Saccharomyces cerevisiae S288C: one gene and its partner. Changing the gene in region 1 together with any one later gene gives a genetic interaction. Each region holds a gene or a part of one and is shown on either strand. Other genes may lie near its edges. The genes, in order: GON7 and RTK1.

Region 1 (3,197 bases):
AATCAACCGGCTGGAGGCAGGAATTTCGTTAATATACAGCCCATGGGATGGAGAATATGATGCACCGGCGGAACGAGAAATTGGATAGAAGCGATTGGAGAAGAAATAGAGGATAAAAACAAAGGCCGTTATTATCGACAAAAATTTACAAGTTCCGTACTTGTTCTGCTTGAAACCAAGCCTGTTGAACCACTGCGAACCCACCGATCTTGAGGAGTACGTTTTGCCCTTCGTTCTTGGTTTGATTGCCATTTTAACGAGTCCTAACACAGCTAACACCAACAACAAACCGGCAGGATGATTCCAAGTTGAAAATTGGCTTTCTTCGCATCATTTAGGAGTCGATCAATCCTTCTTAACTGTATCCCATCGTGTGTTTATTATTTTTTTATATCAACTCTTCCTAGTTCAACAATTATCACTTGTAACGAAATATTTGTCATTTATCATTAGACTCTTTTCTGTTTGTATATACACTCTCTAGCGCTACATATCGTTGCCTAAACAGCATCTTCGTCACCGTCACCACCATCTAATAGCTGGTTAATCTCTTCCTGGATCCGCTTCTCGTCTGCGCCGGCTTTCTTCTTATTTTTTGCCAATTCCATTCTTCCTGTCAAAAACTCGTTAATATCGTCCTGTAGCCCCGTCAGCTGCGTGCGCAGCTGGCCTAAGTATGTCAGTTGTGAGCCATCTTTCGTGCGTTCCGGTTCTGAAGGTTTGTCTCTATCGATTTGGCCAGCGTTTAGCACATGGTCACTGGGCCCAGTTGTCCTTCCCTCTGTGGTCATGTATCGAGGGTCATCGCGTATTGGTGCAAAACTTTTTTCCACACCATCTGGTGCACTGTACTGTGCTACCGGTAGTTTCATTGAGATATTAGGATAAGGTTCCAGTGCACTATCGGCTGTATATATTTATTTAGCTCTAACTTGGTTCAGTAAAACTACCAATAATCAGATGGGATATTCTTAAGTTACTCATTACTAGAGATCCGGGTAAAATTTTTGACCTGACAAGGCCGTAACACTGGAAACAGGAAGATCAACAAAGAAACTAAATAAACACCTATCGTAGTTGCTAATATAGAGCTTTAAAAAATCACGCTCTGTGGTGCTAAGACACTATTCTATTGTGCCATCACTAGAGCATTCGCGTTAAGATACTTTCACCAAGATAAACATCGTTATACACGTACGATCTACGTGCGGCTGTAGCGTAATCCCGAATAATACAAATCTTTTGAAGGGATAGATTTCTATATACTTACGAATGTCGACAAGGAGCAAAGGTTGTATTCAGGGCTTAAAATACTAAAATTTGGTGGTCAGTACAGCTCATTAATGGCATCTGTGAACAATTACCAGGTTGATTGCGGGTCAAGGTCTGCTCGCATTCAACCCAGAATTAATAACGGCATTCACGATGAAGAATCGCTATTTGAAGTCCTGGAACTCTCAGAAGAGGAATTTGAGCTAGACTTCCATAGATTAAAGTCATTCAATGATGTAAGGGTTATCAATAACCCAGATTTATCTCCAGAATGTACAAATACTGCCATTAGTCGCGATGAGACACTGGAATCTGCAAGTAGTGCCTTCGAAGTTCCTTCTGACGAAATTGCTATACTGTCGATATCCAGTGACAGCAATAAAAATTCTCCGCCCTCAGAGCAGCCGGCGCCCGCTCTTCGTAACATTCGATCGTCTAGTAACTCTGACCGGATCGATGAGTGGTGTTTGGGCAGCCATTTATTTAATGAGCTGCATCAAAATGTCCCTCAATCAAGCGACGGTGTCAATCATGGATTTCCCGTTTATTCCTTTAAGGAAAGAGAACTTTATACCTCTGCGAAATTAAAGAAACTTACAAATGCCCAAAGAATTGCTGTGCAGAAACTATCAAGAGACTTGTATCCAATTCTAAGAACATGCTACCGCGAGAAAACTCGCCGGCAATTATTGACATACCATCATGAAAGAATATTTGACGATATACCATCTTTTTTCCCCCAGCGTGACTTTATTTTCAATTACTACTCGATGCCTCTTGAATTCGACAGGTTGTCAGACGTAGATATAGATTCGTCATCGCGGTCACGATTTACAGATGAGAGCACTGGAGAAACATTAAACCGTTCACCAAGCGCAGCGTCTTCGTCGTTGGAAAACACATCTTGGTTTGGCTGGACTTTACTTTCTAGGTTTTTGGACAGAGAATGGTAGAAGAAAGTTAGATACCCTCATTCTAAAACGTTGTCCGAACACCATCAGTTAGTTTTTTCTTGGTTTCATTTTTTCATTTTTTTCTAAGATGTATATATATCCGTGCACATATATGCTACATTATATTATACAAGGTCGGATGGCGAGTTATTATTAAATTATTATAGTTAATCACTTCATTAGTTTTTCTCCCCCATAGCTTCTTTGTGTGTGCTCTCCAGATAATTAACATGATTGGTCAAATACTCACACATTGCATCCCATTCTGGGGTATTAACTTTATCGGTAAAATACTTGAATTTAATAACTTGGCTTTTCGGAGTGGTACAGAAGGACCCCCTCATATCATTGAATAAAAACAATTCAAAATCCATTCCATAGCGATGCGGCTTCCTGAAGCCCCGTACTTGTTCGCCATTTGGACCGATAAATCTGTTTTCATGATAAAGAGTCCATGGATCTGCCTTGTAGAAACTGGCATGAATGAACATGATATCCAAATCAGAACCGTCATCATTAACCATCAAAGTTTTCAAGAAACCATTGTCCAAAGTATAATCTGGATCCAGTTTGGAAAATTCCTCAATGTTGGCTTTAACTTTCTGCTGCGCCTTTTGGTATTGCTTGTAATCTTGTTCAAAATCATGCTGGAGCAAGGCGAGACCCTTGTAATCATCTTTTTGATAGAAGAAACCATCAAATTCAAAGTTAGTCCTCACTTGATAGTATGGCATATTCAAGGCATGGGCAGCAGCGACGAAAGTGTCTTTGTCACCTTCACCGGCAGTGCCTTGAGAAATCATCTTATAATACCAGGTAGGCCCATAAACATTATAGTATAGCGCCAGTAATAGAGTGTTGAAATGGCGAATCTTATCAATCACCATCTGGCCTGATTCAGAGCTCAAGTCTGGCATCGTGCCGTCCAGATCATGTAAGGGAACATGTTTCAGGAAATGCTCCTGTCTCTCC
Region 2 (4,514 bases), on another chromosome or scaffold:
AAAATATTTCCGATCGTCTTAATGACGAAAATAAAGGGCTGAACTTGAGCAGGAAAGATGCAGCGGCCTTGTTTTCTTGGTGTGCCTTCGAGTTGAACGCAAAAGGTTATAGTAACATTTGTGACATTTTCTCCGCGGCAGAGTTAATACATTATTCTTATGAGACTGATTTGACGAGCTTCTACCAAAATGGTCCCGGATACAAATTGATTAAATCTATAGGTGCTAATTTGTTCAATGCAACAGTGAAGCTAATACGACAAAGTGCGCACTTGGACCAAAAAGTTTGGCTGAGCTTTACGCACGATACTGATATTCTAAATTATTTGACAACTGCTGGATTGATTGATGACACTAGAAATTTAACAACCAATCATGTTCCCTTTCGTGATCATTCCTACCACAGGTCGTGGTACATTCCTCAGGGAGCTAGAGTCTACACAGAAAAGTTTCAATGCTCAAACGATTCGTACGTCCGTTATGTGGTCAACGATGCTGTGGTTCCTATAGAGAGTTGCTCCAGTGGTCCAGGTTTTTCATGTGAAGAGGGCACATTTTACGAGTATGCCAAAGACAGATTACGAGGTGTGAGCTTCTATGAAGATTGCGACGTCTCCAAAGTTAGCAAAGAAAAGGAATTGACGTTTTACTGGGATTGGAACACAACAAGGTATAACGCATCCTTAGTGAATCAATAAGCCATGCATGGGCAGAAATAAAAAAAAATAGGAAATTGTCTTTACATAACATGGTCACAAAGTAATATTCCGCATCGTTCTTCCTTCAGCAAACCGAAGGGGAGCGAATTGAGCCTTCAAGCTACATCTAAAAGAGATTCCACTAACAAGTTCTGCGGTTATTACATATTTTTGTACTACAGAGAATTTAATTGCACCCGCTTTATCACCCTCGTTATTTATATTCTTTTCTGGAATATTTAGATATGCGTCATTTGATTATTGTTGTTTTTTTTTTTTGTTTTTTTACTTTCATTACATCGCTAAATATAATATAAAAGAGATGAACGGCTATTCTTTCTGAATATCGAAAGTTAAAACTCGGATAGAAAATTCACAAGAACATAAAAGAAAACTTCCGGATTTCAAAGGCGGTTCTGGTATTGGGAAACTTCCACAACATATCTCAAATTCAAACTGAAAAGTCCTCAGTGTCTTTTATTCGAAACTCCGGGAAAGCACTGCTTGAATGGATTAAGTAAACTTGAAATAAATTTTTTACTTCTACAGCTAAAATGTGAAATATAGTGTCCGCTTCCACCAAAGGCGTTTATTTTCTCGAAATGAACCTGTGAATAACACAGCTGGCTCCAACTCAAACACTCAACTGCGTCATTTCTTATTCGCTTTCCAAATCATGCATGATTTTTCTTTCTCTTGCCTGCAGTGCTCGTTTCACCGCTCGCGTACTCGTCCATTCTTTGTCAGCGAAGAGGCTCTAACAGTGGAGAGCACATCTGGCAAGTAAAATGATAGGTTGCGCAAGGGGGTAGGGGAATGACTAATAAAGCATTACTACCATCATACCAAGTTCCCATTCATGTACACATAGTCTCTTTAATTGCCTTCTTGAATGGAGGCCAGTAGATATTTGGAGAAGCTTTTCTTGCAGTTCGGGTAATATCGAACGGCGTACATCTATAAGGGGAAAAGCTACTTCCGCTTCTCATATATCTATTTTGCAGTGTGACTCTTCCTGGCTTGCTAAGTATTGTACCTGTTATGGGGCAAGCAAGATTTCTCATTGAAAAAAGATATAATACTTATTTGCAGCCAATAGTGACGGATTCTAGTGTTCTTCTTTTCCATAAGTTGATTACGCTATTCACCCAAACTGACTCTTTAGTGCGCTAATAAGCTGAGAGGATTTGAGAGGGAAAAAAAGAGAGAAGGACAGAAAAGAGCAGCCTGAAATTCATAGCATAATGGTTAAGGAAACTCCATTACACTCATCTTCATCAACTTCGCTGTCTTCATTATTTAGGCCAACTAAGTTGAAGAATTTATCGGCTAAAATATTCAATGGAGGTGGTAACCAATCATACTCAAAGACAGATGATGTTTCAAGGTCTTCTTCTAGATCTTCAAAAAAGAATACAGATTCTGACCAAGAGGATCAAATAAAGTATAACAAACCCAACGACCGAAGATCTACCATAGGAAAGAGCCCCCAGGGAAATGGCGCGTTGTCAAAGGAGTCACACGTAGTAGCAAGTTCTACTTTGACAGGTATTTCTCCTACTTCAGCTAAAAAAGCTCCTATTGACTACTCTCCTTCACGGCCCTTACCTAACAATCATAATCCCGTTCGTACGGGACACACTGTGCCCCACTTACCCCATAGTATTCACAATCCAATAAACTACATTCATCAAGGCTCAAAAGATGCTTTCCACCATCCTCACCCCGTTCGCTCTACAGCTCATAGCAACATTTCTACAGTGTCTTCTGCAAAATCTGATACACCCTCTTCGAATTTATCATACCAGGCACATATGCATCCCGTAGAGATACTACAGAAACAGATTGAAGACAAACACTTCATGGACTCTCAAGCCTCCACCCCTGGGTCCGTGGAACTACAGCATAATTCTTCAAGCGGTAGTGATGATACCTCATCAAGAAAGAAAAAATCCTTGAGATTAACAAGATTTTTCAAAAAAATTCATAATGATTATCACGATAACCATCATCATCACCACCATCACAACCGTGGATCCACCCCTACAAAACCGAAGCTCAATTTGAACACCAATGAAAATATAGTAGAAAGTAACGGAAAAGCGTTATACGAAACAGATAACCCAGTGGAGCTATTAGAAAAATATGGTATTCCTGGTAGAAAATTAGGCGAAGGAGCTTCCGGTTCAGTGTCCGTAGTAGAAAGAACAGACGGCAAGTTATTTGCTTGCAAAATGTTCAGAAAACCACACTTAAACAATGAAGGAACTAATCAGTCTCAATTAGCTAATTATTCTAAGAAGGTTACCACTGAATTTTGTATTGGTTCCACGCTGCACCACGAAAATATCGTTGAAACCCTAGATATGTTGACTGAAGGTGACACCTATTTATTAGTAATGGAGTATGCGCCATATGATTTTTTTAATCTCGTCATGAGTAACCTAATGACACAAGATGAAGTCAACTGTTACTTCAAGCAGCTGTGCCACGGCGTTAATTACCTGCACTCTATGGGCTTAGCTCATAGGGATTTAAAATTGGACAATTGTGTCGTCACTAAAGATGGCATCTTGAAACTGATTGACTTTGGGAGCGCTGTAGTGTTCCAATACCCTTACGAAGATACCATTGTAAAATCACATGGAATCGTGGGTTCTGACCCTTATTTGGCTCCTGAGTTATTGAAACAAACATCCTACGATCCAAGAGTAGCAGATGTGTGGTCTATCGCTATTATATTTTACTGTATGGTCCTTAAAAGATTTCCTTGGAAGGCTCCAAAAAAGAGCTTCAACTCATTTAGGTTATTTACTGAGGAACCTGAGGACGAAGATGATATAGTTCGGGGGCCAAATAAAATATTAAGGCTACTGCCAAGACATTCACGGACAATAATAGGCAGAATGTTGGCTTTAGAACCAAAGCAAAGAGTTTTAATGAATGACGTGGTAAAGGATGATTGGCTTGTATCCGTCCCCTCCTGTGAAGTTGACCCTACATCTGGCGATTTGGTTGAAAAACCAAAGAATCATAAGCATCACTTGGTCACTGAGGAGGAGTTGAATGAGCTGACCAAGCAACACGGGAATAAAGATTCAAATTAATGAAATAAACACTTTTTAAAAGATAAAACCTAAAAAATTGTATATAGAAGATTCAAAGTACTATAAAAGGCATTATATAGGAATAAAAGATGGTGTGCATACAGGTGAAAAAGAAAACTAGTTAAATCTGGAAAAAAAAAACGCTCATATATATACAAAAACATAAATACATTCGTCAAAACAAAAAGCGCTTAAATAAATAAAAGCATTTTTTAGATAATCTCAACGGGCGCCAAATTGAAGTCACCCGACGCATAAAATTGTGAACACGCCCTATTAGATTTTACAAAGAGGAAGTCTCCTCCCCTATAAACTGCAAAGAATAATTGAAAAGTGATTTAGCGCAGATAAATAAGACCACCATAACCACATATGAGTAGGAAAAAATGTTCAAAGTTCCAGTGGGATTAGCCAGTAGGACAAGGGAGCTTATGAACAGCGTTACGCTCAATAGTCTCAATAATGGAAAGGGTTTCAATATGTACTTGCCAGGAATATTAAGGGCTTTTCCTAAACCAGTGCCTTCGGCGATTACATCTCCCGCAATTCCAAAATATCGAGGAGAAAGTTTCCAGTTTCGTAAGCTTTCATGCATTTCTTCTAATTATTGTTCTACCACTCACCAATTTCTATCCAGTCTGAAAAGCTCGACATCCAGGTTGGTTGGTAAAAGAGCCTTCCATTCGTCACGACGTGCAGAAATAAAGTT

What was found.
Region 2: mutations in GON7 (region 1) and RTK1 together harm fitness more than expected from each alone (negative genetic interaction), as found in Saccharomyces cerevisiae (one large-scale study listed by BioGRID).

What each region holds. Positions count from the first base shown.
Region 1 is NC_001142.9:81,123-84,319, reverse strand, and holds GON7 (chromatin DNA-binding EKC/KEOPS complex subunit GON7), read right to left. Parts: upstream 873-3,197; coding exon 501-872; downstream 1-500. Other genes in the region: MNN11 (alpha-1,6-mannosyltransferase), read right to left, coding at 1-252; ATG36 (Atg36p), read left to right, coding at 1,344-2,225; alpha-1,2-mannosyltransferase MNN5, read right to left, coding at 2,405-3,197. UniProt on the Saccharomyces cerevisiae protein: Component of the EKC/KEOPS complex that is required for the formation of a threonylcarbamoyl group on adenosine at position 37 (t(6)A37) in tRNAs that read codons beginning with adenine.
Region 2 is NC_001136.10:404,635-409,148, reverse strand, and holds RTK1 (putative serine/threonine protein kinase RTK1), read left to right. Parts: upstream 1-1,942; coding exon 1,943-3,805; downstream 3,806-4,514. Other genes in the region: putative acid phosphatase DIA3, read left to right, coding at 1-698; MRX9 (Mrx9p), read left to right, coding at 4,192-4,514. UniProt on the Saccharomyces cerevisiae protein: Probable serine/threonine-protein kinase that may be involved in ribosome biogenesis.